Linked DNA regions of Astyanax mexicanus. Each later gene encodes a partner of the first gene's protein in a complex. Links are inferred from orthologs where the notes say so. Each region holds a gene or a part of one and is shown on either strand. Other genes may lie near its edges.

Evidence for each region.
Region 2: cpsf2 (region 1) and cpsf4 share a complex: the UniProt entries of both Homo sapiens proteins name them as parts of the cleavage and polyadenylation specificity factor (CPSF) complex. The link is inferred for Astyanax mexicanus from reciprocal best matches to the Homo sapiens genes CPSF2 and CPSF4.

Annotation. Positions count from the first base shown.
Region 1 is NC_064408.1:84,772,815-84,789,527, forward strand, and holds the start of cpsf2 (cleavage and polyadenylation specificity factor subunit 2), read left to right. Parts: upstream 1-8,502; 5' UTR 8,503-8,669; intron 8,670-10,519; 5' UTR 10,520-10,544; coding exon 10,545-10,693; intron 10,694-10,788; coding exon 10,789-10,948; intron 10,949-11,028; coding exon 11,029-11,134; intron 11,135-11,578; coding exon 11,579-11,708; intron 11,709-11,802; coding exon 11,803-11,918; intron 11,919-12,302; coding exon 12,303-12,490; intron 12,491-12,968; coding exon 12,969-13,259; intron 13,260-13,815; coding exon 13,816-13,916; intron 13,917-14,278; coding exon 14,279-14,482; intron 14,483-15,373; coding exon 15,374-15,526; intron 15,527-15,887; coding exon 15,888-16,113; intron 16,114-16,713. Other genes in the region: riox1 (ribosomal oxygenase 1), read left to right, coding at 202-236, 366-544, 1,543-1,647, 1,776-1,917, 3,396-3,516, 4,299-4,398, 4,516-4,602, 4,775-4,843; NADH dehydrogenase [ubiquinone] 1 beta subcomplex subunit 1, read right to left, coding at 5,564-5,600, 5,811-5,950. UniProt on the Homo sapiens protein: Component of the cleavage and polyadenylation specificity factor (CPSF) complex that play a key role in pre-mRNA 3'-end formation, recognizing the AAUAAA signal sequence and interacting with poly(A) polymerase and other factors to bring about cleavage and poly(A) addition.
Region 2 is NC_064410.1:54,219,164-54,236,441, reverse strand, and holds cpsf4 (cleavage and polyadenylation specificity factor subunit 4), read right to left. Parts: upstream 8,485-17,278; 5' UTR 7,935-8,484; coding exon 7,832-7,934; intron 6,346-7,831; coding exon 6,295-6,345; intron 6,212-6,294; coding exon 6,059-6,211; intron 5,664-6,058; coding exon 5,568-5,663; intron 4,971-5,567; coding exon 4,877-4,970; intron 4,769-4,876; coding exon 4,696-4,768; intron 4,586-4,695; coding exon 4,412-4,585; intron 3,092-4,411; coding exon 3,023-3,091; 3' UTR 2,285-3,022; downstream 1-2,284. Other genes in the region: atp5mf (ATP synthase subunit f, mitochondrial), read left to right, coding at 96-212, 343-371; protein BUD31 homolog, read right to left, coding at 9,762-9,812, 9,976-10,142, 11,526-11,648, 12,655-12,748. UniProt on the Homo sapiens protein: Component of the cleavage and polyadenylation specificity factor (CPSF) complex that play a key role in pre-mRNA 3'-end formation, recognizing the AAUAAA signal sequence and interacting with poly(A) polymerase and other factors to bring about cleavage and poly(A) addition.

The DNA.
Region 1 (16,713 bases):
ATTGCTGGAGCTTGCAAAGATCTCTCTCTGAATAGGGAAGGATGGGACTTAGTGTGGTGCTAGTCAGAGCAGGTGTCTCTTAGCTGATGTAAAATAACTAGCAGTTAGTGCTCTCCTCCAAGTGTGATCAGCTGTTCAATGGCATTGTTTTAGTGGTATCTTAACTACTGGCTCCAAAACTGTCATTCTGCTGTATTGCAGGTCTGAAGATGAAACACTACCTCTCGTGTCAAGTCGTAAGTAGTTCTTCAGTTTTTACTATTATTTTTGGTAAAAATCTTTGTCAATCTTTAAGTAAAGTTTTAGTAACTGAACACTGAAGAAATGTGATTTTGTATAATTCTTATTTCTACTGCTCTCTGAAGCTAATTTCAGTCAGAATGAGATTGGAAAGCCCATATTGGACGTGGTTCTGGAGGCAGGTGACCTGCTCTATTTTCCACGGGGTTTCATTCACCAAGGCAACTGTCTCCCAGATGCTCATTCTTTACACATTACCATCTCCTCCTATCAGAGGAACAGCTGGGGTGACCTGCTACTTAAGGTGAGCTTAAATGGAAATATTCAATTTTGGATTTTTCTTTGTTTTATAAATAATAATAAAAAGTCCATTGCAAGTTGCTGTTTGATTGAATCTGTCAGAAACCAGGAAAAAAACATAAGCTATTAGCCTTAAAAGAATGACAAATTTGCAGATGCGGTACTTTTGATGCTTTTGTTAACATATTGCTGATAATGCAGTGCCAATAAGGAACTTGCCTTCTTCCTCTCCAACTGATAGATTTGTGTGTCTCTGTCATCTTCCTCTTATCTCTTAATTGGTCCATATCTGTCTATCGTTTGTGTGAAACCGAATAAAAGACTCTCATAAAATATCTAAGCACTTATTGATTTGTTTAGTTTAAAAGTGAAATAACTTTAGATGCAGCCATTTAATTTAACATGCTTCTTCAGCATAGAAAAGAATTTCCAGATCTGTCCGGGGACAACGGATGAAAAATAGCCTTTAGGCTAATTCTGGTGCATTTACAGTAATGCTATTTAATGTACACTGTCCCTGTTAAATAAACTATTAAAATTAAAAATTAGGCTCTGGGGCACAATAGAAATCCGTAACCCTTCATCATAGCATTATAGCTCTGGTTGACAGTGACCTGCTATTTTGGAATGATGCCTTTAAAAGAGCAGAGTCCATATGATCAGGAAATATTTGAACCATATTTCTGCACTGTATTATTGCAAAGATATAAATAGAGACTTTGAGATGGCCAGCAAATTTGTGGACTTTAGTGGGTTAAATTAAGGTGATGCATAAAGAGCTGGTAGAAAATTATAATTAAGAATAGTGTGCTAAACCAAAATATGCCACTGTGTCCAGAAATGTACTAAATCTAATAGGCCGCAGAACTGAAAGCACAGTCAAATGAACTGAAAACATAGCAGAGAGATTGTCTAGTGTCATGCTTAACATTTAATGATGTGGAAATATTTTATTTAATGACTTTGGAACTTGTGTTTATGTTTATCCCTTGTGATTGACAGGTGATGCCAGCAGCTTTGGAAATGGCGATGGAGGAGGATGTGGAGTTTCGAAAAGGGCTGCCGCTTGATTACCTTTCCTTCATGGGAGTTCAAAACTCTGACAAGGTGAGGGCTTATTGACTAATCCCAATACATCACTGATGCATCCATGCACACAAGGGAAATATGTTTAAAGTCTTAATTAACTGCATATCACTTACACATTCATTTTGTGTGTTTGTGTGTGAAAGCAGGAGGATCCACGCAGAGACAGATTTCTTTCCCACATGGACGGCTTAATGAAGAAGCTTGTGTCTTACGCTCCAGTGGACGCAGCTGTGGATCAGAAAGCCTTGGGATTCCTTCATGACTGTCTACCACCCATGCTTAATGCAGGTAACCCTTAATAAGGTCTATACTTTTACTACTTAGATTAAATTTTTTATTTTTTTTTGTAATCATCATCTTGTTGGCTGAAACTCATTCGAGGTTATTATCAAATATTCATGTACACATGTACAACATCAAATACACTGAGATAAGGGATAGCAGCATGTTAATTGATCTTAAAGTTGTGAGGAAAAAAAATTGTGCGTTAATGGCAAGGTGAAATAAATTATTTAAGTTTAAAAAAAGGTATTTAGAGAATGCATAATGGAAGTCATTACAAGCCACAGTGAATAGCACAGTGGGTGGTAATGATTGTGAACGGTGGTGTTTGGCTAAAATTTCCATGTGCAAAACACATCCTCATTCAAAGCAGGAGACCCACATGCATATCCTACAGGTCAGTGCAGCAGTCTTCAGCTTATATGGGACATATATGGCAAAAATCATGGAACATTCTATACTAGTTTCTGCCCCATGACTTTAGGCATGTCCATGTATAAACCAGAATTCTTCTTAAGTTAACACAGAGCCAGACTAAAGCCTCTGTTTGAGAGTAGAAATATAGAGGCCATATCACAAGATTTACCTTACTGAAGCTCACTGATTACTTCTACAGCAGAAAAAAGGCCAGCTTGTCCGTTTCCATGGCTACAGTACACTGTTTACATGGTGCTGTTTATACCTGGCAAACCTGAGTGTGGAAATGGGACTGGGGGAATCACAGTGAGCTAAGGAACACACAGATTTTTGTGACATACTGCACAGTTCATATAAGAAAATACTGTCTGAAGCTCTGCTGATATAAGCTGTCAGAGCTTAAACTTAACATGTTTCCTTAATATCTGATGATGCATCATGATCATGTTATGAGTTACAACAGTAAATATAATCCTTAATGGTCCTTTATGGAACAGGCTTGCTAATCTTCACTGGTAATGTTAGCAGTGAAGTGAATTCGGGCGTCTGCACAATCAGAAAAATATTTGGAAGTAACTTAATCCAGAACAATCTGAAAACTCTGGAAGGGCTTAAAAAGGGGGAAATAAACACTTAAGACTATCAATTTTAGTCTACAAAAAAAGACAACTGAAACTTGAGGCAAAGCATCACAAAAGATACATACAACATATACAACTAAAATTTGTATCGTATTTTCCATCCCTACTTTAAATGCACATGAAAGCAGTAAAAGACAATGCTGATCCACTATAAAAGGACGAATCAGTGACTGCAGGGATGCTAGAACTAGTGTAATATAGCACCTTTTCTCTGGTGTTTGTTAATACTCCGTCTGCTGCTTTGGCTTGTGATGTTATGTAATCTCATAAACAGTGCATTACTGTAGCTGGAGGATGATTATCTGAACATTCAAAAATGAATTACAGCTCAAACATTTGCATAATCAGATCTACCTTTGGTGTAATCTTCAAATATGAATGTGAAGTGTGAGGTAACACAGCTTTGTCTGTTTGTGTGGTGTGTAGAGGAGAAAGCCAGCAGTGTGTATGGAGCTCCTGCACGGTGGGAGGATGGAGAAGCTGTGAATGTGACTGTTCAAATGAAGGGTCAGACCAAAATCAGACTCATCCGGGCAGGGGTTGCTAGGTGAGTTATCAACATGTGTGTCTCTCGGTTCAGTTCTGTTCATTCAAAGTGTTTATTATTCTGAAGAAGTCAAATCAAGAGGCTTTTATTTACATTCTATCATAACCAACAGTGTTACGGTATGTTAATAAACAAAATAATTGTCAGTTGTTAAGAATGATTTGTTTGGTTTAACATTTGTTTGTTACATGGTTGTTTGGTTTAGCTGGCTCAGCTACATTGGAAAGAAATATTAAGTAAATAAAATAATATGCAGCTAATCAATATCAGTTGATATAGTAACATCTATATCTAAGTAACCTAATACAAACCCTTTTTTTGTAGACTGGATGCAGAGCTTTTTTGCATTTTGCCTATTTCATATTTAGTTTCTGTTTAATCACTGCACTTTGTAAAATAATTAACAGGGTTTTCATGGTAAATCGTAATGGTGCCTCATGTTTACCAGTACATATTGAATTCACAGATAACATTTTACATGAGACTGAAATGTAATTTTGCTGTTTCATCTAATAACACAAGTTTGATTTAGCAAGTGATTTTAATTAGTTTAATAGTTCTCTGCCGCTCTACAGAATTCAATACATTTTTTTAAAGAACAGGATAGGACAATGGAGAACATTTGTTTAGAATTCTAAATTTAATTTCTTAAGCATACAAATCTCAAATAAAACTAAAGTGACATCCAGCATCTTTACATATAGATAACCACACTGTACTGTGATTAACCATGTTAGATTCAGACTTTGCGTATTTAACACGGGTATGTTCCTTCTCCACAGGCTGTGTGGTGATGGTGGAGCCGTTCACCTTTACTACACCACTGAGAACTCCAGAGTTTACCATCAACAAGAACTCAAGAGCATGGAGATTAAAGAAGAGGTAACATTTCTACTTTTGCACACAAAAAAAACAATATGATGATACTTTAGATTTCTAATGCTATTGTATTTAACTAAAAGAAAGTTGAGCTGTTGCTTTATTTTTATGAATCTGTAGCACACAGATGCCCTGGAGTTCCTCATTCATGCTTACCCAAAGTTTATCACAGTCTCCAGTTTACCATGTGATACAGAAGAAAACAAGGTAAAACAATCCTTCATCAGAACTTGAATAGTGTAGCTTCACAAAGATTAATTTGCATAACGTATTGTATTGTTAATAAATGTTCATAACTTTTAGATTTGAACATTATCATTAATGTTACATTCTTTTTTAACCTACAATGGCTTTAATTTTGTGTATTTACTATTCACAGATATCACTGGCAGAGTCGCTGTTTGAGAAAGGAATAATCCACACATCTGAATCTTTAAAGGCAAAGTGAAAAGTTAATTTGTTGATTATTAATGAAATCATGTGTGATCATATACATGTGTTCTCTGTTCTGCTTTATACCTGTCTACATTATAGAGAAATAAAACACTGCCATTTCTCACAGCAAAAAATAAAATAAAATGACAAAAAACAGTAACGTGTGGTTTTTTGATTTCTACAAGATGCAGCACATGTAAAAAAAGAAATTCTGAAGTTATCATTAAGGTGGCCACAGGCCAGTGTGATTTTGTATCTCTTTTGTGCTAGCTTAGCCAGTGATGTTAAGGGGTTAAAAAACGTATATATAAAATAGCTGCTATTTTGGCTGTAACATTTGGCTTCTGCCTCCTCTTTGCATTAGCCAGTTAATACAAGGCAGCCAAACCAAACATAGGGCATTTACAGTTGTGGTAGCTTTTGAACTGTATTTTGTATTGGGCAGAGTGTGTATGCACCTTCATTAGGGGGAAACATAAAACCATGAATTAACTGATATGCAAAAGCTGACGTGTAGCTTAATATCTGTACAAATGTACAATTAAACTCTGCATCAAACAGACGCAGGAAATTACAATAAACTACCAGGGAGAAAAAAAACACTGACAGCAGTTTTGTTGGATCAATATATTTTACATCACAAATGTTACTGAAAAGTCATTTACAGGGCTTAGGACAACAGAATGTCAACATGAACAGAGCAGGAGGTCCAATAAATATGCAGAGGGAGTCTTCACTTCCAGGTGTATTCCTCACCAGGCTTCAGTTCCCTGAAAGAGCAGACCTTTCATCAGTTTAGTTTATTTTAATAAACTTTTATCTATCAGAACAAAATGTTTGTTATAAAAAAAAGTGTTTGCTAGCTCACATCAAAATAATTTCATAACAAATAAAGAGTATGTGAAAGTAAATGATAGAGTGAATTAATTATACATTATTTGAGTAAGTGCACCTTGGTGCTGGTTATGTGAGACACACACCTGCTGTACAACGCACTCTTGTTCCTGAATGCTGTCAACTTCTGATCATTCCACCTGTCCAGGTAGACACCAACAACAAATCCCAGGGGAACCAGGACATTGACCCAGTGCTCTCGCACCAACAACGCAAAGTTCACCATGATGCCTGTAAGATGAGAGTACAATGAGTTCCACTACTGACTGTAATAGAGCTAGCTTTCAACTACAGGCTTGAAATGAATGATAAAATGTAGTTAATGAGTCTTGTGAGTGTATTGTAACATTGGGTAGAATTTTATAAAACTTCTTATAATGAGTAAACTGGTGGAGTAAAACTTCTGTTAGTTCAAAAAAGGTGGCTGCATGTAGATGCGTTGCCCCAAAGACAACAGGCTTAAAACAAGTGATGTTTCAGCTTTGTTATCATGTACAGTATGAGCTGGGGAGAGAGTGGTACAAACTGTTGTTGCTTTACATTATAATGGCCCTTTAAAAATATCAGAGATGCTATAATTGCAAATTAACTCTTAATATGAATATTGGTGTATCTGGATCATGGACAGAGATGTAAAGTAATAAAGTAGTAAAGTACTTCACTACTATAATGCTGTATCTACTGGAATATAATTTTTTCTCCTACTTCCACATTTACTTAACTACATATTTTGAATACTACAATTATAAAAAAAAATAAGAATCCAGATCAGTGGATGCTCTGCACCGTTACTGGTTTGATGAAGCTCTTCATCACTGAGTGAATCAAATGATGCTGATCTTATACTCCCGTTCTGCCTTTTACTCTGCTGCCTGCCTGCAACATGACATTCAAACTGCTTTCTGTAATAACTGATAATGAAAGAGGGGCTTTTGAAAGATCAAATGAACCAACTGATTTGGAAAAAGGTTACATTTCGTGAGATGTTTGAATCATCATCCACCACAGTGACATCTGGTAGGCAATCAGGCACTTTTAAATGATGGCACATTAGAAGCAATGAAGAATAAAGCAGTGCAAGGTTTGTGCCTTTTTACAAAGAAGAGTTACAATGCATTTAACCTCTTTAAAAAATGTGACAATGTTGTCATGTGTCATGTTGACAACACACAGATCAGATTTTGAAAAACTCATTTAGAAACATTTGGGGGAAAAACTGCTTGCATTTTATTTTAGGATTTCAAAAAATGTATAACCTGTGACATAATGAACACTGATTTGTGACAGTTACATGATTTTTTGTTTTTGTTTTGATACAGACTTCGAATTAATGTATTGAGACACAGATTCAAATGAATCAATTCATCTTTTGTTTTGAGTTTTGAGTTTGACATCCCTAGTAATAACTACACAGCACTGTACTTTACTTTTACTTTCCAAACTTGAGTACTACATTTTAGAATAAACTATTTTAAAATGTAAAATAATACATAATACATGTATTATGTATTAGTAATAAACAATACATAAGTACGAAAAAAATAAATATTTTACATCACAATACGCAGATCAGACAATCAATAAGTCCAAGTATCTGAAGCACGCTACTGCTGCTGCTTAGCCAATCAGCTTTCCCTTCTTCCCCGCCCCTAAACCCATACATTACCCAGTGTCCCTCCCACACTTCCCCCTCCTATTTTCTTTTTTTTTTTGTAGCCTTTTCCAAATTTAAACTGAGGGTGGCGTCAATAAAAATCGGAGGATTAGTTACCCTTTTAAAGAACACTTCAACTTCTACTCATCACTATTTTTAATAAAGCATTTGATTAGATAGATAGATAGATAGATAGATAGATAGATAGATAGATAGATAGATAATTGATCCTAAAGGAAACTTAGCAGTAGCAATTTATCAATTTGTACCTTTACTAAAGTCTAAATCTCTAGTACTTTATACACGTCTGATCATGACTGACATTCAGATCTTTACAGACATGATTTAGGACTGTTTCATACAGATAAATGACATTTTAGGTTGACGTCTTGTTTATTTTACTGTAGTGTGTTATATTTAGGGCTCCTTGCTGGGACTATATTATAGAAATAAACCAGATTTATCACAAATATGTATTAATTAAATAAATTAAATCTGATATTTAGTATGTTATATTTAGGGCTCCTTGCTGGGACTATATTATAGAAATAAACCAGATTAATCACAAATATGTATAAATTAAATAAATTAAATCTGATATTTAGTAGCACAACCCTTCATCATACCCCTGCCTGGTTTAACTAACTGACCTCACCAACCAACAGCACCAACACCAGCAGGCCCCTGTACTAGCCTCAGAGTTAGCTAGCCTAGCCTAGCCTAGCCTAACAGCCATAATTCTCACATAGGAAGCTGTTTACTGTGTGCTTCAACAAACTACACAATTACGACTGCTTCAATTACTACTTTTACCTGAACAAAAGCACTATATATCCCACATAATTACAGAAAAAAAAAAACATCACAAAAGTGTCGTTACCTTCTCCTCGTCTCCTGTCGCTTCGCTGTGGAGCTGCTCAGAGGGCACTGAGCTCTACCACCTTTCTCAAAACGCGGGGGAGCGACGACTTATTTATTTCTGCTGATATTAAGTTTTGTTTTAATTATATTCGTCGATAAAATTAAATATAGTTAAAATTGTGTGATAAACGGTAGATCTGCAGCATGTATCGTATTATTTTAAAACGCAAATAATGTAATACAATTAGTTCGGCTTCACCTAAAAACACGCAGTAAGTGGTACGCTCCGCCGACCCTGCTCTGTAATGGCGCAGCGCGGCGAGATTGAACAGTGAAATTCCTCTAAATATAATAAAAAATGACGCTGAGAGCGGTTTGGACATGTTTATCGGGACACACGTTCATGTGAAGTTCTTTAGTTCTTCGACCGGTATGCTGCTGTTCGTTAATATGACTTTTTTTTCCTTCATTTTAGCTTCTGTTAGCTAGCTCGCTAACCTAACGCTAGCCTTCAGTTGATTCAAAGCTGGTTGCCTAGCTAGCTTAGCTAACCTGATGTTATTGTGAGCTGACCGGTAAAATGTATTTAGTTGAAGATTATTTTTAAACCCAAGTATTCAGGTTTATTTGCTTTTTCGGTTTTAAAATACACAATAGAAACTCATAGTACCTTTCCTGTGCTTTGTATTTTTTATAACGAGGCTGAAATGGGCTTAATATTGGACATTTCAGTTCAGTTCCACTTTAAATTGTACACCCGTTTCACTCTATATGTAACTTAGCTGCTGCATCATATAATGTGAAACTTATATTATATAGCTTACCCGCAGAGTGATCTATTATAAGCGTTTATTTATTTTATTGTTAAATGAAAACCAATGAAAACCCCAAAATTAGTGTCCCTTTGTAAGACCCTTTGTTACTTTTGGAAGTGTGGGCAGTGTGCCAAGTCCTGCTGGAAGATGAAATCCGCATCTCCATAAAAGTTGTCAGCAGAGGGAAGCATGAAGTGCTGTAAGATTTTCCAGAAAAACACTGCACTGACTTTGGACTTGATAAAACTCAGTGGACCAACACACCAGATTACATGTCTCTCCAAACCATCAGTGACTATCGGAAAATGTTGTATTTCATTTGGAAATCAAGGACCCAGAATCTGTAGGAAAAGCACACAGCTGCTTGAGGTCTATTGTAAAGTTTCCACAATCAGTAATGGTTTGGAGTCATTTGCTGGTGTTGGTCCACTGTTTCATATCCAAAGTCAGTGCAGTGTTTTCCTACGAAATCTTACAGCACTTTGCTTTCTTCTGCTAACAACTTTTATGGAGATGTGGATTTAATTTTCCAGCGGGACTGCCCACACTGCCAAAAGTAGCAATTGGGTTTTCATTGGCTGTAAGCCAATACAATAAATGATTGCTTAAAATAGAGCACTCTGTGGAATTTTTGAGATGCACTAGTAGATAAAGTCCATCTTCATTTTATTTCTTGACAAAGCAGAGCAGAAATTGTAGTTATTGTTTTTTAAACACCAGAATTAGTAGCTGGTTTTCTAGCCAAGTTAACTTAGGATTTGCTAAACTGTATTGTGACTTGTATATTTGCATAGCTACTCCTTGTGATTGCTAAATATGTAGGATAAGCAGGTTTTATCACTGATACAGTCTAATCAGTATGTGCAGTGAGTAGCCACTATGATGTTTTAATTTTTTTGTAATCATTTTTGTTCGTTCCTCATTGTACTTTAAAAAAAAACTGGGTGCTGAAGTAACAACACAGCTCAACAAAACTGAACAGGCATCGTTCAAGAACAAGCTGCTAGTTTTGGTGTTTAAAAATTAGTAACTACAGTGTGTACTCTGCCTTGTTACTAAACTAAAATGAAGCTGGACTTTATACTGTGAGCTTCCACCTTCAACAGTCCAACAGGTGTACTATTTAAGGTGGAACTGAAATGTCCACTTCAGCCGTATTATTTAGAAGCTCACAGTATAAAGTCCAGCTTCATTTTAGCATAATAGGTTAATAAAAGCGAAGTAAACAATGTAGCCTATTGTTTTTTTTAACACCAAAATTAGTAGCTAGTTCTCTAGCTAACTAGGTTATCTGTGTTGGGATTTGTTGAGCTGTGTAGTGACTAGTATATTTACAGAGCTGTAACCTGTAAAGAGTTCATTGTTGCTAAATCTAAAAGCTGTTTTTTTATGACTGATTCAGTCTAATCAGTTTGTGTAGGAAGTTATATGCTGTAACATTTTTTTCTTGTTTTCTCCGCATTAGAGTGTGAAAAAACTTTGTGTTGAAGATGACCTCCATCATCAAGCTGACTGCCGTATCCGGCGTGCAGGAGGAGTCTGCTCTCTGTTACCTGTTACAGGTAGATGAGTTCCGCTTTCTTTTGGACTGCGGCTGGGACGAGAGCTTCTCCATGGACATCATAGATGCTATGAAAAGGTGGATGCTCATGATCTCCATTGGTGGATTCTATAGGCACTGCTTAATTTATCAGCTGTATTTGAATGCAGAATGTTTTCCCTGTTGCTTTGCAGGTATGTGCACCAAGTCGATGCAGTGCTTCTCTCTCATCCAGACCCACTACACTTGGGCGCTTTACCCTATGCAGTTGGCAAACTGGGCCTCAACTGTACCATCTATGCCACCATCCCTGTGTACAAGATGGGACAGATGTTTATGTATGACCTCTATCAGGTATGGACAGAGGGTTCTGGCAAATTGACATTTTGACAAACAGGTTATTGTTGTTTTTGCTAAGATGTTCTTTCTTGCAGTCTCGTCACAACACAGAAGACTTTTCCTTATTCACACTAGATGATGTGGACTCAGCTTTTGACAAGATCCAGCAGTTAAAATACTCACAGATTGTAAATCTGAAAGGTAATTCTTAAATTCACTGTACAATTTTTTTTAATTAAGTGTTAACTTTATTGCTTTAAGGGATAGCTATTATCTTGTCTTAAAATTGTTGAATGCCAGCACATGGATTGAGTCAATGTAAAAATTTAAATAGAACATTTTATATTAAGCTTTTAGAGGCATAAAGCGGATAACGTTTTTCTTCCACTGTTGCTGTTAACAGTTCACACCCGAAAGTGTTCTTAATGACTTGCCCGGTTAAATAAATAATAAATAAATAAAATAGTGTATATGGCACATTGTCTGTTGTGTACATACATTTTTGTTAAAGTTGTCGGAGAAATCTGTATATTTCTATATTATTAATATAGGTGAAACGAGAGCCCTACTTTGTATGTTTCAAATTTACGTATACATGCAGACTTCTCACTTGTTGTATTTTCATATCTTTTTTTTTTCTTCTAGGAAAGGGTCATGGTTTATCCATCACTCCGCTTCCTGCTGGTCATATGATTGGTGGGACCATTTGGAAAATAGTGAAAGATGGAGAGGAGGAGATTATTTATGCTGTGGACTTTAATCATAAGAGAGAAATGTAAGTAGGCTAAACGTTTTAAACATGCTGATGTTTGCCATTGATATTTTGCTTCTGCTAAATAAATGACTTACTATTTGCTTGAATCTTGCAGTCATCTAAACGGTTGTTCCCTCGAGTCAATCAGCCGACCCTCCCTGCTCATTACTGATTCCTTCAATGCCACTTATGTTCAGCCTCGCAGAAAACAGCGTGATGAGCAGCTCCTGAGTAAGTTTACTGACCTTCACAGTGCTTGAGCCTCTCAGCCACCTTCATAAAGTACCTAAAGTGTTGTTGTTAAGTGTTTTAGTGATACAAAGTAGTTTACCATTATTTGTTTGTTACTGATTTTAAGGATCTAATATTGCAATTACTGGTTATATCAGCACATATAGTTGTATTAATATTAGAACCAGTAATGTACTGACTTAACACATTGACATTGACAATAATGAAGACATTTTGTCACAAAGTTAAAAATAAAATAAAATAAAATAAAATTAGGTTTACATACATTATGTTACCAAGCATGCTTTCATTCAGTGCAGTCTATCTATGCAATGTTAAAAATGGCTGATTGGTGAAGCTAAGCTGTATTTTTTCCTCCTACAGCTAATATTATGGAGACTCTTCGTGGTGATGGCAATGTGCTGATCGCTGTGGATACAGCTGGACGTGTGCTGGAGCTGGCTCAGTTGCTGGATCAAATCTGGAGGACCAAGGATGCAGGGCTGGGGGTGTATTCCCTCACTCTGCTCAACAATGTCAGCTACAATGTTGTGGAGTTCTCTAAGTCCCAGGTCTGACATACTTCACAACCAAGCTCCACTGTCCATTGTTTAAGAGATCTACAACCCTGCAAAGTTTAATACATTCAGCTGTAGCACAGCTGAGATCCAGTCCAGCTTAGATCAGCATTGGCTCTGGAACTCAGGCTTTATTCACACTTTACGGCAAATCAGTTAGAAGTGACTAAATCTTCCACTTGTGAATGAGTATTGTTGTGCAGTCTTAATCAATTTATTGACAATAATTTTCATAATTACTAGCTATATTCACAACACAGATTTACAATATTTATAATAAAGAAAATTTAAGTTATTGCAAATAATTGTTAAAGTAAATGTTTCTTACATATTTTACATGTATTTAAATAACTTTAATAGTTTTTACTTGCGAGTAGAAATTGTATCAAAATATCCCCTTATAAGGCTCAGCTGAGATCGCAGAGGTTGTTGCTTTGTGGTACAATTTAGCATTTATTTCTTTTCCTAATAGGTGGAGTGGATGAGTGATAAGCTCATGCGATGCTTTGAAGACAAGAGAAACAACCCCTTCCAGTTCCGTCACCTCTCTCTGTGTCACGGTCTGTCTGATCTGGCTCGAGTGCCCAGTCCTAAAGTGGTTCTGTGCAGCCAGCCTGATTTGGAATCAGGTTTTTCCAGGGAACTCTTTATCCAGTGGTGCCAGGACTCTAAAAACTCCATCATTCTCACCTACCGCACCACACCGGGTACACTGGCCCGATACCTTATAGACAATCCTGGAGAGAAGATGATAGACCTGGAGGTGAGCTTTGTCCGGAAAAAGAATTAGGCAGTACTTGGCTTATATAATTTCAAGTTTTTCTTATGTTACATGCCATATTTTAAAGTCTATAGAAGATTTTTTTGGACACCAAATAAATTGAAAAAGAGGTGGTCTAATATAGATTAGCAATTTATTCTACCTAATGATAAATTAAACTTCTGACCAAGCTAAACTGCAATATCCAATACATTGTTTAGATTTTTCTATATTCAGATTCATTAGAATGGAGTGAAAAGAAAAAGTTTTTATTCAACATTTCACACATTGCACTCCATAAAAATTATAACTATCTTACCAGTGATATTGCTGGTCAGTTTTTCATAACGTCCTTTCATGACTTCCCAGAGTCCTCTACTAATAGCATTTTAAATTTGTAATAGGAAAAATGTGTATGTTTTAAAGAAAACCTAAAATCTAACACGGGCATCAGTTTGTTAGTTTAATATGATAAAATCAGATGTGTGGTATTGCTAATTATTTTGAATGCAACAGTGAATTAATTTGTTAGCTAACTTTTTTTTTCTTTTAAAAACAGATAAAGAAAAGGACCAAACTGGAAGGTCGTGAGCTGGAGGAGTACCTGGAGAAGGAGAAAATGAAGAAAGAAGCTGCTAAGAAACTTGAACAAGCAAAAGAGTGAGTCATAGTGTGCAGTTATTATTTGTTTGCTAGGTAACGCGTGACTGAGATTTCTTGATTTTTTTATTTATTAAGTTTATAAACCTACAAAAATCCAAGCACGATCTGTCATTCACCCCATTAACCATTTGTTCAACCCTGTAAATCATGTTGGGTGTTGCCTGTGTTTATTCCGTAAAAAAAAGCCCTTTTTATGAGTTTTCTTTATGAAGTTTGAGTACAGTGCAGAAGCTTCAAGCAGTCAAAAAGTTTGTTTAAAAAAATGTCAGAAACCACATCGGCAAGTCCAGCAGGGATTACTGAAGGTTTGAGGAGAGTGTGTCTCATGTTTGCTAATGCTTCTGTCTTCTTGTTCTCAGGGTCGATGTGGACTCGAGTGATGAAAGTGATATGGAGGATGATTTGGAGCAGCCTGCTATGGGGAAGACCAAACACCATGACCTGATGATGAAAGGCGAGGGGGGGCGCAAGGGAGGCTTCTTCAAACAGGCCAAGAAATCCTACCCCATGTTTCCTTCTCACGAGGAGAGGATCAAATGGGATGAGTATGGAGAAATCATCAGGTAAGCTGCTGTAAGGCCTGCAGCTCCTCTTCTAAAACTATGTGGGTCCATTTAAAACATCAAGACACCTTATTGAAACACAGTTTAAAAAAGGAGGTCATGGTAACACACAAAGTGATAGATATAGATATGCTCCTGTAAAAAACTTTCATACAGTTCTTCTTCTGTTAGAGAGCAGATCCAGTGTAACTGTCAGACTAAAGTCTTTATTACGTTACATATTACAAGGGACATTTATTGAGTAAGTAGTTTATTGTAGGCTCCTTAAACAGAGCACCAACTAAACTTGTCTTGTGTTCTGTATGTGTTTTAATGGACTAAAATTAAGGAGTTGGCAACTGAAAATATTTAACAGAAAAAGCAGTTTTTGTGTATGGCATTAGTGACAAAAATTATTCATTTATACAAAACAGTGACTGTTTTATTATGTCATATTTACTGTGGTGTGAAAGTGTTTGCCCCTTCAGGATGTTTGTCACTCTTAAATGTTTCAGATCATCAAAGTAATTTAAATAGTAGTTAAAGACAACACAAGTAAACACAAAATGCCTTTTTTAAATAAATGTTTTAATTATTAAAGCAGAAAAAAAATCCAAACCCATATGGCCATGTGTGAAAATCATCATGATGTTCTAAAACATGGGTGCTCAATTCTGGTCCTTAAAGATGTACCATCCTGGAGATTTCAGGTTTAACACACCTGAATCTCACACCTGTTATTATGTTCTTAATAACCTGGATCAGATGTTTGAGGTTAGGGGTGGAGAGGTAGATCTCCAGGTTCAGAAATGTGCACACCTATTTTTAATATAATTTGATGCCTAAGGCTGTCTGTGTCTGGAACCGTGTTCCCTGTTCTATCACTCATGCCATTTTTGTGGCTGCTCCCAGGCCAGAGGAGTTCCTGGTTCCTGAGCTGCAGGCTACAGAGGAGGAGAAGAGTAAGCTGGAGTCCGGTATGGCTAATGGAGATGAGCCAATGGACCAGGACCTGTCGGACGTCCCCACCAAGTGTACGTGCACCACAGAGAACCTGGAGATCAGGTTGGTGTCCTTTTGCATGTCTGTCTGTGTAAAATATGTGTCTAAGATTCAACCACGTACTACGTCTTATAGGAGAACTTGAACAAGAGAAAAGCCAATTTGGGGGCAATTTAATTAAGTTTTAATTAAATTTTAAAATGAAAAGAAGTACAGAAATTAGACAGGATTTGCTGTCCTCTTGTGTAATGTGTACAATCAGGAGTATGCTAAAACAAAATACACTAAATAATAATAATAATAAAAGAATAACAACAAAATTAATTAAGCAGCTTAAGTAATAATAAAATAATGGTGTTTTGCAGGGTTTTATAATGAACGTTTGCAAAATTTTAACAAGGGCTGTTCATTTTTGTGTCACTAGAGCTCGAGTCACATACATAGACTACGAGGGCCGCTCAGATGGAGACTCCATTAAGAAGATTATAAACCAGATGAAGCCCAGACAGCTGGTCATAGTCCACGGGCCTCCAGAGGCCAGCCAGGACCTGGCAGATTCGTGTAAGGCCTTCTGTGGAAAAGACATTAAAGTGTACACCCCCAAGCTTCAGGAGACTGTGGACGCCACCAGCGAAACACACATCTACCAGGTAATGACATTAATTACATATTTTATGTTATATATTTACTATTAACATGATTAAGATTATGGGATTGGATTAGGCTGGATTTATTGTCTCAATGCACCGATGTAGGAATTGATTTTGCAGATATACAAATCTGCTGATGCCAATGCCAAAATACACATTTATAACTTAGAGACTAGACACTTTGGTTTATCTTAATAACATTAAAATTAATAAAAAATATCTTAAATCAATAATTATTAAAGTATCACAGTCAGTATTGGCCAACAGTAGCATGGCTAGCATCATTGAGTCCTTTCCAGCATACAATAAATACATCAGCAAGTATTGATTTGAAATATTGGTCATATATAATATTGGCCAATATAATTCCAATATAATTGTTTATCCCTAATAATTTATATGACTCAGTCTTGGACACAAAAGATTGTAACACATTCACTCATTACTTTTTTTTTACTGTAAAATATATATTATATACTAAAAAATATATTGTGTGGAGACGCACTACAAATTGCGTTGTTACATCCCTATCATAGCATACAAGTCAGGTAGGAAAATGTGATTGCATTGTCCTAATAACTCATCTGACACAAAGCATAT
Region 2 (17,278 bases), on another chromosome or scaffold:
GCTTCACTTTTAGGAACCTATGAACATTTTCAAAAGACAAGTATATCTGTCTTTCTAATTGCCTATATTAACTGTTGTTCATCCCCACCCCTCAGGCTATGACCGTTACTTTAACAAGTACATCAATGTGAAGAAAGGAGGTATTGGTGGTATTGCAATGCTCCTGGTTGGCTATATCGCTCTGAGTTACGCGTGGGAATACGATCATATTAGTAAGTAAATATTTAAATATATAATCTGTAATTTTCTGTTTTTCAGAAAGAAGCAATTTAATTCCTGAATTAGCAAAGTATAGTTGATTACTGATGATTAGTGTGTTTTTTTTTTCCCCCTACACAATAGAGCACGACAGGTGGAGGAAGTACCACTAAGGCTTCTTGGACACAATGGACCACCGGAACTGTCCGCTGCAGTGTGACCAGCACACCTTTATGCTTTCTGTGATACCTGTATAAAGTAATTTGTTGTGACCAAGAATTAAACTAAGATTATTAAGTATATCTTTTGTCCTTTCTTTTTTTTATATAAGTGTGTACATATATAGTGTACATGTGGTTTCACTGCATGTATGGGTTAAAGCCAGAGATGTATTGTAACAAAGTAGAACTACTTCACTACTGTATTTAGGCACTAAAATGCTGTACCTACTGAAGTTTTATTATAATTTCTCCTTTTTTTTTTAACTTCAGTTCACTACACATTTTCCATGAGTTTCATACTATTACTCCAATACATTTTTATGTGCTGCATCGTTTCTCATTAAAAAATTGTATCAATAAAATCAGAGTGGTAGATGCTCTGCACTTACACTGTGTTTGATAACGCTCATCATCTTCGAGAGATCAAGCTAAACTCTTAAGACCTCGCTGCTCCCGCTCTCCCGTCTTTTACTCTGGGAACTTTCCACTGCATTTTGTAATAAATTCGTATCACACTCCTGTACTTTTACTTTTAGCACTTCAGTAGTACATTTGAGTGAATTATTTATTGCAACACTTGAGTACAAAAAATGTTAAATACTTAAGTACTTCCAGTTAAGTGTGAAGCTTAAAGAACAGTTCAACTTCTACTTAAGTCACTTTTTTTTACTAGAGCACTTGTACTCTGTTTAAAAGTGGAGGCCAAGCACAAATTGTAAATATGCTTGTCTTTGTCTTCCACTAGTCCATCCCCCTGGCCTAAAATGCCCTTGAGCAGGAATCCCAACTCCAAACTGACCATACTTTGTGCTGGACATGGATGGAATTTGGCCTTTGTCTTTGACCTGTACTTGCAGTAAACACACACACAGTGACCTACAGTGAGGCTAAGAGCCTGGAGTGGTGTGTAATGCCATTCCTGCGGTGCCTGGGGAGCAATAAAGGGCAAGAGCCTAACAGTGGGAGTAATGGACCCACAATCTTGTCATCAATAACCCAGTTTTCTAAGTGCTGAGCCACCAACCTACAGGTGGCTGTAGGGGGTTAAATGTGGGGGTTGAACTGTATTGTAATAAAAAAGGTTGGATAATCTAATATGAATCACTGTTAGGGCTGCCCGATATTGGGAAAAAAACAATTCTTGCAATGTACAGCTCTGGAAAAAGATTGATGATCACAAGCCATCAAACCAAACTGCTTGAATTTTTGCACCAGGAGTGACAACGTTTTCCAAAAGCAGTGTGTAAGACTGGGGGAGGGGAGAACATGCCAAGATTCATGAAAACTGAATAAAACCCAAGGTTATTCCACCACATATTGATTTCAGAACTCTTAAAACTTTATGAATATGAACTTTTCATTGCATTATTGGAGGTCTGAAAGCTCTGTATCTTTTTTGTTATTTCAGCCACTTCTCATTTTCTGCAAATAAATGCTCTAAATGTCAATATTTTTATTTATAATTTGGGAGAACTGTCCACAATTTTTCCCAAAGCTGTATATTTGAACAATAAAAAGTATAAGTTTCACCTGAACTTACTCATAAGTCAGTGAGCCAACATGACATGATATTAATATTGCAATCTGTGACCAACATTTGAACAAAATAAATGATAATGGGCAGATGTAATCTGTCTTTGGTATGTAGTGTTTGGTATTACATGTAGTGGAAAATAAGTACAATGTTTTTTTTCTTTTTATTATCAAATATGACATTACACCTCCTGCAATGTTACTATTATTCATCTCCACACTGCAATCGATGGCAATGCTGAAACAATGCATCTTGTGCAGACCTAATCACATTGCTTAATACAAACTCTTCTTTATCAAAAACAGTATAATAACAATCACAGTGTTCTTGATTATTTCTTATGATCTTTATTAACCAGAAAGTACAAAATGCATCAACAAAACTACTCTATACTCCATAATCAAAATCCACCTGGATCCAGAAAAGAGACTCATCTCTTTGAAAGAAGGCTCACAACAGACTCTTAGGTAATTTTCAAAAAACGTATTGTGACTTGGACGTTCAAGTCCAGAAACTGATTCTCAAAGATGCGATCAAAAAAGGCCAGTGTGTAGCAGTGCGTGCTATCCATTAGTGGGATAGCCACATGTCTAGCCTTAGACATGTAATCCACGCAACACATCTAATTCAGATTAAGCAATTCAGATTAGATTAGGTGGAATTTCCCAAAAGAATGACTGAGACTTGAATTCACACTATTAAAAGAGATATCAATGAAAAAGAAAACACCACAGTAAGGGATGTGCTTTCTACAGCCCCATGATATTTTTATTTTATAATGCAAATTTTACTGGTCACCCTAAAATAGGCGTTTCCCCTCAATATATAATAATAGTGAACTCAGAATGAAATCAGAAAGATTTGTTTGCATGAATCAAATCAGATGGTCTTTATTATTCACTGAATTCTACCTGCTGAGATTATCTGCCCTCTTAGAGAGTCACTCAGTGCACGTGTTCCTGGTAAGGAGTGTAAACTGAAGTACCCTCCAAAAGCTTTCCAGCAAAAAGCTGTCGTTCCAATCCTCATAGCACTTGTGAGAGGAAATTCCAGCAGCTGCAGATGAATACTACTGTCCACTGAGAAATGCCAGGTGTCCTTTTGTGCATTTGTTGGCATAATGCCCCTTCTCCCCACACTGCAACACAGTAGAAAATGACAGGTCAATAAAAAGAACATTAAAGTATTTAAAGTATCATTAAAATATCACTATAATCAGCAATAATATACGGAAGGGAGTGCTCTAACATGTAATATTGGCACTGCTGTGCTGCAGTCGTAGGCAGAAGGTCGGAACGAACAGTGGTATAGTATATATTATACCACAGTGAGTTTCGCCCCTGCAATGTGATTGGCTAAGGGGCTTTCTATGAGTGCCATTATCAGCCGGTAATGCACTGCAACCGAAGCTCTCAGTGTATTACTCCGCAACATACCTAGCAATGATGCAGCACTTACAAGCCAAACAGCGCAGCTACAAACAGAGCAGCAATAGAACTATTTCAATTTCAAAAGTGATTATAACCAAACAGATCATGTTTTCTCCTCTTCTTTAACTTAAAATCTTTCAATAAACAAAGATAATGGAACTGTAGTATAATCACAATAATGCACTCGAGGTTCGTGCTACAATGTGTACAACGTGCTACAACTAAATCCCATTAACCCAAACAAAACAGAGAGCATGTTATGAACTCCAAAATGTAACTAAACATTGTGGCAGTAAAAGCATCATGCTCCTTCCTTTACGGTTAAACTGCAGTGACACAGACACAAAAACACACAAGTATAAATACCCAGTAGGGGTGGCCGATATGGCTCTAAAATAATATCACAATATTTCATGGTATTTTCACGATAACAATACTTTTGCCGATATGACAAAACACTGAATTAGAAAAAATATTTTGAATTTTATTGTTGCATGCAATATGATTTGGTTAACTGAGATATTAAAAACAAAAATAATTTTATTAGATTTGTAACAGAAGTCAATGATCCAGAATGTCATGATACTAATAATGCATTCCATATATCTCCATTTATCCAGGATTAAAATAAAATAAATGATACTGGATGGATATAATCTGTCTCTAGTAGATATATAAAGGGTATTTAAAACAGTGTAAATTTTTCTTTTGCTAAAAACTGCAAAAAAGTAGAACCCTGATGTGATAATTAGGTAATTAGGGGTGGGTGATATTGGACGATATTTCAGGGTATAATATCGTTACCGATATTCTACATTTTTGGTGATATTATCATGAACAATACGATATGGCACACCCCTAATACCCAGAATAGCATAGGCCATTTGCACATGGAATATATATGTAGACTCAATGCATTATTTAGCTGTAAGCCACCCTCCATACCTTCCAGTGCCCCAATATCATAATATACTTGTCCTAAAGCATAACAACAGTTTTCTAATTCAATGTAAGTGTAAGTTTTCTACCTTGTAACATGTAACTTGGTCCAGAGGTCGAGGGCCGCGGGAGCCACCCATGTGGTTCTGATTCTGTGATGGCCCATGCATGTAAGGCATTTTTTGATGGAAATTGGGGTTGTTGTTGGAGTTGGTTAACTGGATGAGTGATAACGATGATCTGTTCATATTCGGCATGTTCTGCTATTTGGAGAAAAACAACAAAAACAAACAATTAGTGTTTCTGCACTGTAGTCATGCACATTTCAAAGTCATACACATTCCAAAGTCCCAAAAAATTAATTAATGTTTACCTTCTGCTGAGTCTGAGACTGTTGAGGTAGTGGTGGCTGCTCAGTCGTACCCATAGGCAGCTCAAAACGAGGGCTGAAAAATGAATTGATCAATTAAAACTGACTCAATACCAATCAGGTTTTCTTAAACAATCACAGAATGAATTAAGACAGAATTAATTTAAGAATGGACTGTACTCACTGCATAAATTTGCACCCTTTGCCCTCAGGACAAAAGCCTACTAGGTAATTGACACAGATGACCCTTCTTGTGTGTCTGTGTCGACAATCCGGACCTTAAATGAGAGAACAGGACAGTTCACACACGTTTAATACGTTATAAATACAGGAAGGTGTATTATCCTGCAGTGAAAGAATATTTCTTACTCTCCAACATATATTAGATTATTTTATTTCAGCGTTTCTGTGTGAAACATTAAAAAAAAAAAAACATAGATATACAAAGATAGATATACTCTAGAATGAAATAATCCAATATGCCATGATCTGTCATGAACAATGTGCTTTGTTTATCATAGGTTGAGTTAGGGGAAATTAGACATATATAATCTGTAAACAAAATCTGGACACTCTGGAGCACCAAACACAGACACACGGACATCAGGTCCAATGCTAGACGCCAACTAGAGAGGTATAAAGTCCCCCAGCACTGGGCTCTAAAGCACTGGATAATTTGGATAACCTGGATAAAAGGTCAATTTTGTATAGAAACCTCCACACACACAACATGTAGATGACATTAACATACAACATAGATTGGCATTAAGACACAAGATAAATCATCTGTGATTGAGAAGGAGAATCACAAACTGTGCCAAACACTGAACCTCCGGGACCCCCTGATGTATGTCCACTAGAGTACACAGACTTACCATGTTTGCAGAATCCCCGATCATACCATGGACAGTCTTTAATCTTAGATTCTGGGTCAATGTGCAAGAAGGGGCATTCTTTATTACTGCACTCACCTGTCAAATATAAATAACACATTTCAAAACAATAACAAATCACATAAGCTAAAACATATATCCATAAAAGCCCAGATTAAATCTGTATCATAGCCTCATCATCATACTTTCTTATAAACAGACTGCTTTTAAAGCTTTTAAATGACAGTAGTATTTAGGTGTAGATTCTATAACAGTAAAAGCTGCTATAGCTATAGAGTATATAGGTGCAGAGTTTATAAAAGTAAAAGCTGCTATAGCTGTAGAGTATATAGGTGTAGAGTATATAACAGTAAAACATGCTAAAGCTGTCGGGTATATAGGTGTAGAGTGTATAACAGTATAAATGTGCTACAACAAAAAAACAATTTGTGAGTACATTTTCAAGTAACCATATGTTAAGATTTTTTTTTTACCAAATTTGGAGTAGAAATAGCACTCTGGCATCTTCGTCATGTCATACTCATGTAAAAATTCACACTGGTCCCCTTTCTTGCATAAACCTCGCAGCCAGTGTTTACACACAACTGTCTTTTCTCCACTGATGTGCCGAAAAGGACACATTCCACCTGCAAAAGTAACACAGATTAATTATGTCCAAGCTGCCCCAAAAAAGCTTTTGGGTTATTTTTATAAATAAACTACCACTTACCTTTCAGACAAGCAGCTTTCATGAAAAATTCACACACAGCGGCACCGGACTCTGTACAGAGAAACACAGAGTTACAGTAGAACAAAACTATATACACAATCAGACAGGTAGACAGAGAGGTAAACCAATAAAACTGGTTTGGCTGTGGAGTATAAAATACACATACATAAATCTGTAGAGTACATATTTGGGCAAAGTATATAGCTATTAATCCTACTATAGTTTTGCAGTATATTGCTTCACAGACTGCTTTAGCTGCAGTGTATATTACTGTAAAATATACAAGTATGAAACCGGCTATAGCTGTAGAGTAAATAGCTGGTGGGTATATATAATCCTCTATCTGTATCTTAGAGTAAATTTGCTAAACTGTAGAATATATATGAGTAAATCTACTAAAGCTGTAGTGTACATAAGAGTAAAATCTTTTATAGCTGTAAATGGAGCACGTAAAGGACAGGAGTATATATGTGTAAAGTATATAACAGTATAATGTGCTATAGCTGTAGAGAGAAAGCAGGTAAAGGACAGGAGTATATAGCTATACAGTATATAACCATAAAAGCTGCTATAACTGTTTGGTATACAGCTGTAGAGAGGGAGCAGGTAAAGGACAGATGAGTTCACTGTATATGTGTAGAGTATATAACAGTTAAAGCTGCTCTAGCTGTAGAATATTTAGATGTAGAGAGGGAGCATTTAAATGACAGGAGTATATAGGTGTAGATTCTATAACAGTAAAAGCTGCTATAGCTATAGAGTATATAGGTGTAGAGTACATAAAAGTAAAAGCTGCTATAGCTGTAGAATATATAAAAGTAAAAGCTGCTATAGCTGTAGAGTATATAGGTGTAGAGTATATAACAGTAAAATGTGCTAAAGCTGTCGGGTATATAGTTGTAGAGGGCAAGCAGGTTAGGGACTGGAGTATATAACTTTAGGTGTAGAGTGTATAACAGTATAAATGTGCTATAGCTGTAAAATATATAAAAGTAAAAGATGCTATAGCTGTAGAGTATATAGGTGTAGAGTATATAACAGTAAAATGTGCTAAAACTGTTGGGTATATAGCTGTAGAAGGCAAGCAGGTAAGGGCCTGGAGTCTATAACAGTATAAATGTGCTACAGCTGTAGAGTATATAGGTGTAGAATATATATAACAGTATAATGTGCTATAGCTGCAGATTATATAGGTGTAGAATATATATATAACAGTATAATGTGCTATAGCTGTAGAGTATATAGGTGTAGAATATATATAACAGTATAATGCGCTATAGCTGTAGAGTATATAGGTGTAGAATATATATAACAGTATAATGTGCTATAGCTGCAGATTATATAGGTGTAGAATATATATATAACAGTATAATGTGCTATAGCTGTAGAGTATATAGGTGTAGAATATATATAACAGTATAATGCGCTATAGCTGTAGAGTATATAGCTGTGGAGGGGGAGCAGGTAAATGACAGGGGTTGAACTTGAGTTATCAGGTGAACTGAGCGTTGTTGTTTAACTGGCTCAGTGAACTTACTGTCCATCCCTGGAAACGGTAAGGGCTGAGCGCCGAGCTGCTGCTCCACAGCGATCTCCAGATCAAACTTGAGGTGATCAACGTTGGCGATTAATTCCTGCATGTTTAATCTCTTTTCTTGTGCTTTTTAACAAACTTACAGCACTTACAGTCTCCCCCATACACAGCCCTGCAGCTCCTGCTAACTGGCTAAACGCTACACGTAGCTTGCTAGGCAAAAACCTACCAAATTTAACAACAAGGCTGTGTGATATAGGAGTTAAACCAAAGCCACCAAGCGCTACAACATGTAAAAACTCCTAAATCCTCCTTCAGGAGCAGCAGTTTAATAAACCATAGCGATTATCTATCAGAATATTCCGCTAACTAATAAACACAGCAGCGCCCCTCGCTCCGCTCCCTCCGCGCACACTCACAGCCCCGCTCCTCCGCCAGGCCGCTCAATCAACCCCAGCACAACCCAGAGAACCGGGTCGCCAACAACCGCACTTCTATAAGATTTTATCAACAAAAAAACAATTTACAGTGTATTTAAGAGGGTCTTGATTTGCTAATATAAATCATGTATATGCTGGGATACCATACAGTCGCAATATAGCCCAACCAAATACTCTGTTATTGATTAAACAGTCCAATGAACGCTTTTAACGGAAGCAGCAGTAACAGACGTAGGGTCTGTCCTAAACCGCACACAGCTGCACTACATAGCCTATATAAGTAGTGCACCACCCCTAGAAGTGCACCGACTAGTATAGAACATTAAGCAGCTTAGAGAATCTTAAGAGAGTGTGGTTTGGGACGGACCCCAAGATCCACGTTGTTTAAACCAAAGCAGCACAAAAGTCTTTTTCCAAAAAAGCGATTTGACCTTATAAACCACGTTTTTAGTTAAGTAAGTAAAATAAAGAAAATATTAATGAATTAAAAAATCGTTAGCTATATATATACTATTCTTTTATGTCTAAATTTTTATATTGCTGTACTTGTAGCTTTGGGAAGAAGAGTAATGTATTTCAATCCTCTGTATGTTCTGTACATGTGCAGTATTGACAATAAAACTGAATTGAAAATAGATTTCTTTATATTTTATATTTTTAAAAGGAAAATAATCTGCTACTGCTGCTTTGACATACTACAAAACATTAAATGTTGCCTGTGCAAAAAGTAAATGGTAAATGTGTTTAATATGTTAAAATCAAATAGAAAATAACGTTAATTCCTGTGCTTTAAAATTTTTACTTTTAAAAAAACATCATATTGTGTCCTTTTGCATTTTGATTCTTTAGGAATACATTCATGCTGGGGATCTCCTGTTTTACCAAACACAGAGATGCTGATGGATTCCAATCAGATGACCAGCAAAAATAAATTTAACCCCCACTAGAGAGCCACATAACAACACAGAACGTATTGTCTTGTCCACTAAACCAGTTAGAAAGACTTTTCCTTATGGCATGGTTCATCATTATGCTGGAAGTAGTTATAATAAGATGGAAAATTATGAATTTATATAAATTTTTTTCTAAACTTTAATCTTCATGCTGACATTTTAAAAAAGACAGTTCCTATAGAAGTTAATTAATGTATTTTGTATTCATGTTTCATTGTACTGATGACTGGTAAATAGTTAAATGTTCATGTAATTGACAATTCAACAGTATATGTAATTCTTTATAAAATGTTACAAAAAAAGCACAAACATTTACAACAAGGATTTTATTTTACAAAATGAACAAAGTAAAGAGCACATTTTAAAGGTTTTTGAAGGTAATTTGAATAAAAATGACATTTTCACAAAATACACAAATGATGAACATTTCTACATTCACTTACAGACAATCCGGAATGAAAGCAAGCAGACACTTTTAAAATCAAAGAAATCAAAATGTTTTGAGCCCCAACATCCCAGAAATGAAATACAAGCCCTTGATTATCCGGAGCATCCTCTGCACCCACAGTGAGTGCACTCAATGATCCGACCCTGTTTGGAATAAATTGAGAAATCTATTAGACTATTAGAAATGGGCTGTAGGCTTTATTAAACATGATGTTGGTTTATAATAGTAAAAGGGATATTAATGACATGAAAACTAAAATCAGCAGCTCATTAAAAGCAACATCAAAATTGTACCGTACTAACTTACCACTTCGAGTTTTCCTTTAGGAACTCGACATATGCAGTTTGTGCCGAAGTTGGTGTCACGTGTCTGAATGCAGCGAAGGCAGCAGAGGTTTTCGTAGCCCTGTTTCTTCCACTTTGCTATGAGGTTTTTGTCGGCGTATCCCTCTCTTATGCAGTATTCATACAGCTCTGGGCACACAATACAGAAACACTTTTACTTCAACATCAATATATAACCTTTTAGTGTACTGCTAATCATACGTTTTTTTTATCTGCACTATTGACACTTTACTGTACACCTGCACTCCTGAACACTAGCCACTTTACAATATATGCATATTTTTATCCAGTATTCCCTTTATCTGCCGATACCTAGACCTCTTGCACATTGTTTTACTTATCACTGCAGTGTCTGTTTAGTTCCAGTAAGATTCGAATGCATATTTTAACATATTTTCTATTTATTGTCTACACGTGTATATTTGGAGGCAGTATTTTTCTTGTTTATATTCCCGCACTGTTCATAATAAGCTAATAATTGTAATTTGTAATTTGTTCGTGCCTTATTGCAACAAGTGAGATGTATAGCTATACCATCTAGAGCTAATAATTGTACTCATTTTGTTATACTGCACCACCCTTATTGTTGTGTGCCGTTTTGTGTCAATGGTACTGGCTGCTACATTTATTTCAGGATCAATAAAGTATCTATGCATGTATCTATGTATGTACATTGCTGGTCAAATCAGTTCAGTCAAATAGTCAAAATCAATTCAGGATTTTTTCATTATTTAAAAATGTTCTGCATTGTAGATTAATTCTAAAGTCATCCAAACTATAAAGAAAAACATGAAAGATTTGGTACACTAAAGTGTTAAACAAACCAGAATATGTTTTATATTTTAGATTCTTCAAAGTACCACCTTGTTTAAATGACCGATTTACACATCTTTGTTGGATTTTCTCTTTATGAGGTAGAGTCACCTGGGACGGCTTTCAGTTAACAGCTGTGCTGAACTTAAAAGTTAATTACTTGAATTAATGTGTTTGAAAGCATCAGTTGTAAAGTTGTGAAGAGGTAGAGTTGATAAACAGTGAATAGCGCTATTTGAGTAATGTTCTAATCCATCCTATGGCAAGAAATACTCAACTAGGCAAAGAAAAAAACACTTTTAGAAATCAAAGTCACTGATTTTTTTACTTTGAAAGTATCACCAGTGCAGTTGCAAAGACCACCAAAAATATCATGATAAAATTGTATTTTGGTTCATTGTTTTTTTTTTTTTTAAACACTTACGTCTACCATATGATTCCTTGTGTGTTCCTTCCTTTGGATGACTTCGGTATTAATTTACAATGTAAGCAAAATAATAATAAATCAATAAATTAAATAAAAACATTGAATGAGAGGGTATGCACATATTATTTATCTATTGTCTATGAAGAGGTTTGCTACTGTTAACTGTAATACCAGACTGTTATTAACTAGTGACACAAAGGAAAGTATCATAATATCATTATAATTATACCGGGACTATAAATTGGTAAACTGGATATCTATACTGAACTCACCTCTACTGATGGCCTTTCTTTTGTAGAACAGGTCGAAGATATAGCGGCTCCGCTGGTGGTGAAGTCTGAAAATCGGCCACAGAGACTCCACTTTACGTTTTCCCTCATGAGGCTCAGTTTCAGCTGTGGATTGAAGGCAAAATGTTTAGCAGCATGTTCAGGATGAATTGAAGGCAGTAACCTAAAATGAGGGAACAAGAGATTAACAGATAACCCCACCCCCCCCCCCCCCCTTTCTGTATTCGATTTATTTATTTTTTCCTTTGCACCTAAAGTGACATCATGCAAAAAAGAATAAAGCATGGCCACAACTTTTTAAGATGTGGGAATGAGAGCCTGAAGCATGACCACAACTTTGGTGTGAGAATAAGATAAAATGAGATGAAAATGCTCCACATGGTTTTTTCATATATATATATATATATATATATATATATATATATATATATATATATATACACATATATATATATACACATATATATATATATATATATATATATATATATATATATATATATATATATATATATTACATTATGTCACCATAAGTGCCCAGAACCATCACCAGAATCATTTTCCTTTACTTGCAGTTCTTTAGCCCTTTCGGACCTGAATTATCTCCAGTGATGGAAAAAAAATATATAAGAATGCTGTAATACACAGAAAAGAAAGCTCTAATATTTTACAATAGAAGCTGCATAGCAAATAAATTCAATTAACTAAAATCTAAAACGTGTGTAACATTTATTTTTTTATTTCATAAACCAAAAAGAACATGGTTAAATATTGGTGTAAATCACATCAAATTACTAAAAACTAGCTGTTACTTTCACTCATTGGCTTTAGAACCACTGTTTTTCTAGTCTGCAGTGGATGGGGCCAAGCTACTGTTTCATTGCTTTATAATCTCGTTCATGGTCTATTCTGAAGGACAACAATGGATATAGGGTCTGAAAGGGTTGAATATCGCCGATTGTATGTAACATTATCTATAAACGTTCTTTAAACAGTAGTTAAACAAAGACAAAGTTAAGAAGTTAAACAAACAAACCCCGAACAGCAGCAGTAGTAGTACAGTTAGCTTTAGCTTGTTGGCTAAAAATACTGGCGTCGGGTCTGAACTCACCTTCCCTCATTTTCTGATCCAGCTCGTCTAAAGTCGGCTCAATCAGCTCCCAGCCGTCTGGTGGAGGCTTCCTACTCCTCTTCACTTTGGGCATGGCTTTAAATTAATGTTAAATTAAACAGAAATAGAGAAAAAAAACACAAAAGAGAGACGTGGGCTGTTTCGGCAGGGAAACACAGTACAGCACACTCAGCCCAAACTAGCCTAGCCTAGCTACCGTCTCTCTGAATCGGCGTCACTGAGTGAGGGGGGCCTGCCTGCAGCAGGATGGCTCAAAAATACGCGTAATCGAGCTGTCCTTCCCCCAAATCCTACCAGATTATCCTAAACACCCTCACCATCAGTTCTATTCGAGTCTGACCCCATGAACACAAACACTACCACCTTAAATCCACCTTTAAAACGCGAATAAATGAGTAGTTATCTCGTGTTAGCTGACTGTTGCTCAGGATTCTGCTCTATTGCATCAGGTTAGCGGGGTTAGGTGTCCCCGACGGTGCCTGTCTGTATATCAGTGAGAGAAGAGAACACAGGAGATAGCATGCTTGCCTGACTGATTTCTAGTTTTACTTTATTTTTTTGTCATTTAAGTTTAAAAGCTGATATCTGATCTCTTTAGTCTATTATTTTATATTTATAAACTATAATATCTGACAGTCATTTCTCGAAGCGAGAACCGACCATAACAGACCAGGGTAGCTAAACTTAGATAACCAGGGTTGGGTGACAAGCTTCTAATTTTAATTTCACAGCTTTTCCTGCTGTTTACATCCACAATTTAAGCTTTAACTGAAGAATTAGTGACTGTATAATCGTCAACATGCCTAAAGGAGGTAAGACTCTGCTTATACGTCGACTGTCAGTCAATAGTTACTTACTGTAATTACACATCTGGTTTAATGTAAATAGTTTTTTCAAATGTTTTTTTTCTGTTTGTGTAGTTATTCTTATTATATTCTTAGATTTGCAGTTTACTGTAGAGTTCTTGTCTTAAAATAACCATGTCACGTCAACATGAATGATTGACGTTTAGCTATCTGTACTATTTGCCATGTTGGGAACAGACTGTAAGGTATATATATATATATAAATTGCTAAGATTAGGGGGGAAATTACTGCACTTCTTCAGTCAGACCTCTAATTCTTCCTTTCACTGCTGAAACTAAGACATGGTCCAATGGTCCATTGTTAAGCTGAGTTTAAGGCGCTGTTGCCATGTGGTTTAGCCAGACATGCATCTTCCTGTACCAGTTTCTCCAGTTTCCAAGAGTCTTTTGAATGTGTAGAACACAGTATTCACTGCTCTGCTCTTCAAATCTATATTTTGTAATTTCTAACTATTGTGATTAAAGTGTGAATGTGCTGTGTAAGTGTGCAAATGCTGCAGTAGAGAATGCAGTAGCACCCTCTGTTCCAGCACTGCATTACTTCAGTCAAGACTTTGGAAAAATTACATTTTATTTTTAAAATCCATTTCCAAAGCTCAGTTTATTTCCATTGCTACTTACCAGCTGTTAGCTGTTAAACAGTTAATAGTTTTCTAAAATCACCCATTCTTTAATAAACTATATTTTCTTTCTTGTTTGTTTTTGTTGATATTGACCAATAGCTGATATCAGTATGGTGCAGGTTTTATGTAGAATGAATGGATTTGAAAATCAATCACAATTTCTATTTTAGGAAGAAAAGGTGGACATAAAGGCAGAATGAGAACATACACAAGTCCAGAAGAAATAGATGCTCAAATGAAAGCAGAAAAAGAAAGAAAGAAAGTAAGTTGCAATGTTAATTTTGCGAAAGTTACATTTAAGTTTACATTTCAACAGGTGAGTTTCCATCAACTAAATGCAATTCATTTATGTTTGCTTCTCAGCAAGTTGTTTTCATCAAACTGACTTTTTGCAATGAAAATAAAAAAAAATCCTTCAAAAGCCTTGAATAAAAGTATTTCACATATTAACCAGAAAAGGCTAAATGTAAAAAGGTTTTACGTCAAAAAGCCTGTCAGCTGACATTTTGGAGAGTTAAAACGTGTTTTTATTTGTGTCATGGAAACCTCAGATGGAGAGAAGTGATTCTATAGAGGATTGCTTATGTAATGTCTATATACGCAGTATTATAATAAACATATATATATATATATATATATATATATATATATATATATATATATATATTTGAAACCTTTGCACAGATTGAAGAAGAGGCAGATGGAGCAACAGTGAATGATGACAACCAAACAGAGGACAAACCTGCTGGGTCAGGTTCAGAGGACAGTGATGAGGAGGACTCTGATGTAAGATTCCGTCTCTGTTTTGTGTAGCACTCTGTAGCACCAGTTATCTTATGACGATTCTCCTTCTTTCTGTTAGAAAAAGAAGGGTGTGGAGGGTTTAATAGAAATAGAAAACCCCAATCGTGTCGCTCAGAAGTCAAAGAAAGTTACAGAGATTGAACTGGAGGGACCCAAGCAGCTCTCTAGAAGAGAAAGGTACGCCCTATAAAGCTGGATCAATAACAGATCCCAGATAACATGCCTATGTGGACCTGTATGGGTAGCCAACTAGGAACCAGAATGTTTTATACACAGGTTCCATGTTGGCCCCACAAATGAATATCAGTGATCGGACCGGGGGGGTTAGTCAGAAAACATAATTGTTTGGTTTAAATGATTTGGTCCTTTATCAAATTTTGGTTGCTGAATATTTAGTGCATTCCTAATATTGGGTAAATATAATCTGCCTCTGCGTTTAAGGAAAAATATTCCCTTTGTATTAAGCATCAAACAAACTAATGATGCTACTGCATATGATATTGCATGCCTTGTAACTATTGTGTATGTACATATTGCAATAATTATACAGAAATTATATATATTGTGCAGCCTCATCTGCTGTTATTGTTTTATTGTATGTCTTTATATGTAAACATGTCTGTTTACACTTCAGAGAAGAAATTGAAAAGCAGAAGGCCAAGGAAAGATACATGAAGATGCATTTGGCAGGAAAGACAGATCAAGCCAAAGCAGATCTTGCTCGGCTTGCTATCATTCGAAAACAGCGAGAGGAGGCAGCAAAGAAAAAAGATGAGGAGAGGAAAGGTAAATTCTTAAAGTTTGAAACACTTATATTGTAATATTATAAATGTTATATGTTTTTTTTTTAATTATTATCTTTTCTTTTCTTTGTGTTTTCTTTTCTCTTCAGCAAAAGAAGCAGCAGCGGCAGCAGCTGCAGCAACAAAAGGACTTCATACATTGTCCCTAAAATAAGACAGAGTTAAAGAAATATCAGAAACTGAACGGTTGTATTGACCTTGTGGGACAGTACAGTACACAGATATATTGACATTACTATTTTTGAAGACAGGTTTGATTGTGTTGTTCTGCTTTGTAAGAAATTACAATGCAAAGTTCCACTGAAAAGGAATTATTTATGCAGTTTGAATGCTAACTTTTAAAGTAGGCATTTGATAGTCAGTCAGTGCTTAAGATTGATGCTCCAGCAGAGGTCGGGGGTGTTTTCACCAAAGTGGCTAATTTACAATGCCTAGATACTTTTACTCTGATACTACATATATATATTTATTAACCTATTAAGTCATGTAAAAGTGAGTTTTCTATCTGCGCTCTCAAAGTAAATTACTGTAAGATGCAAAATTATGATAATCAGTTTTTTTTGCTGCAGGTGAACTGGAATTAGAGAGATGTCTGGGCGATATTATTCTCTTCCTGCAATGTATTAGAAAAGATAAGCATCAGTGAAAGGTCAAGTTTCCTGCTTATTAAGAGATATACGCTCATTGTTGGATCTCTCGTTCTGCTACTGTCTACTGTACTTGTTTGCTGTTGAAGCCCTTAAAGTCTTCAAAAAGGTTAAAAGGCTGTTCTTAATATGCATATACGCACCAATCAACCATAGCATTTACACCACTTGTGTGTTTCTACATTCACTGTCTATTTTATTGTCTCTAATTATCATGTAGGAGCACTTTGTAGTTCTATGAATGGTCCAGACCCCACAGGACCACCACAAAGCAGCTATTATTATTTGGGTTGTGGGTCGTTCTTCTCAGCACTGCAGTGACTGTACTGGCATGGAGGTGGTTTATGAGGTGTTAGTGTGTGTTAGGCTGGGATGAGAGGATTGCCAAGTCAAGTCAAGTCAAGTAGTTTTATTGTCAATACTGCATATGTACAGGACGTACGGAGGATTGAAATTATGTTACTCTCCTTCCCAAATTCTACAGCAAGTACAGATAGTAGATATAATAAAAAAAATGGGAGACACTATGTGTACAATACAGCAGGGACACAAATAGACATACATGAGACAGAAACAATGTGCAGTAGTGGTGGGAGTGAAGTAAGATATGTAAATATCAAAGAGTGGGAGACAGGAAATACTTCCTTTGTGGTGGTCCTGTGGGGTCCTTACCATTGACGAACATGGTGAGAGGAGGATAATAATAAAATATGCAGAAAAACAGGACTACAGTCTGTAATTACAGAACTACAAAATGCTCCTATATGCTCATTGAAGCTGATAGAACGGACAATAAATATATTGATATGTTTCTATGTGCAGACACTCAAGAACATCATGTATACTGATGCAAAGCTCTC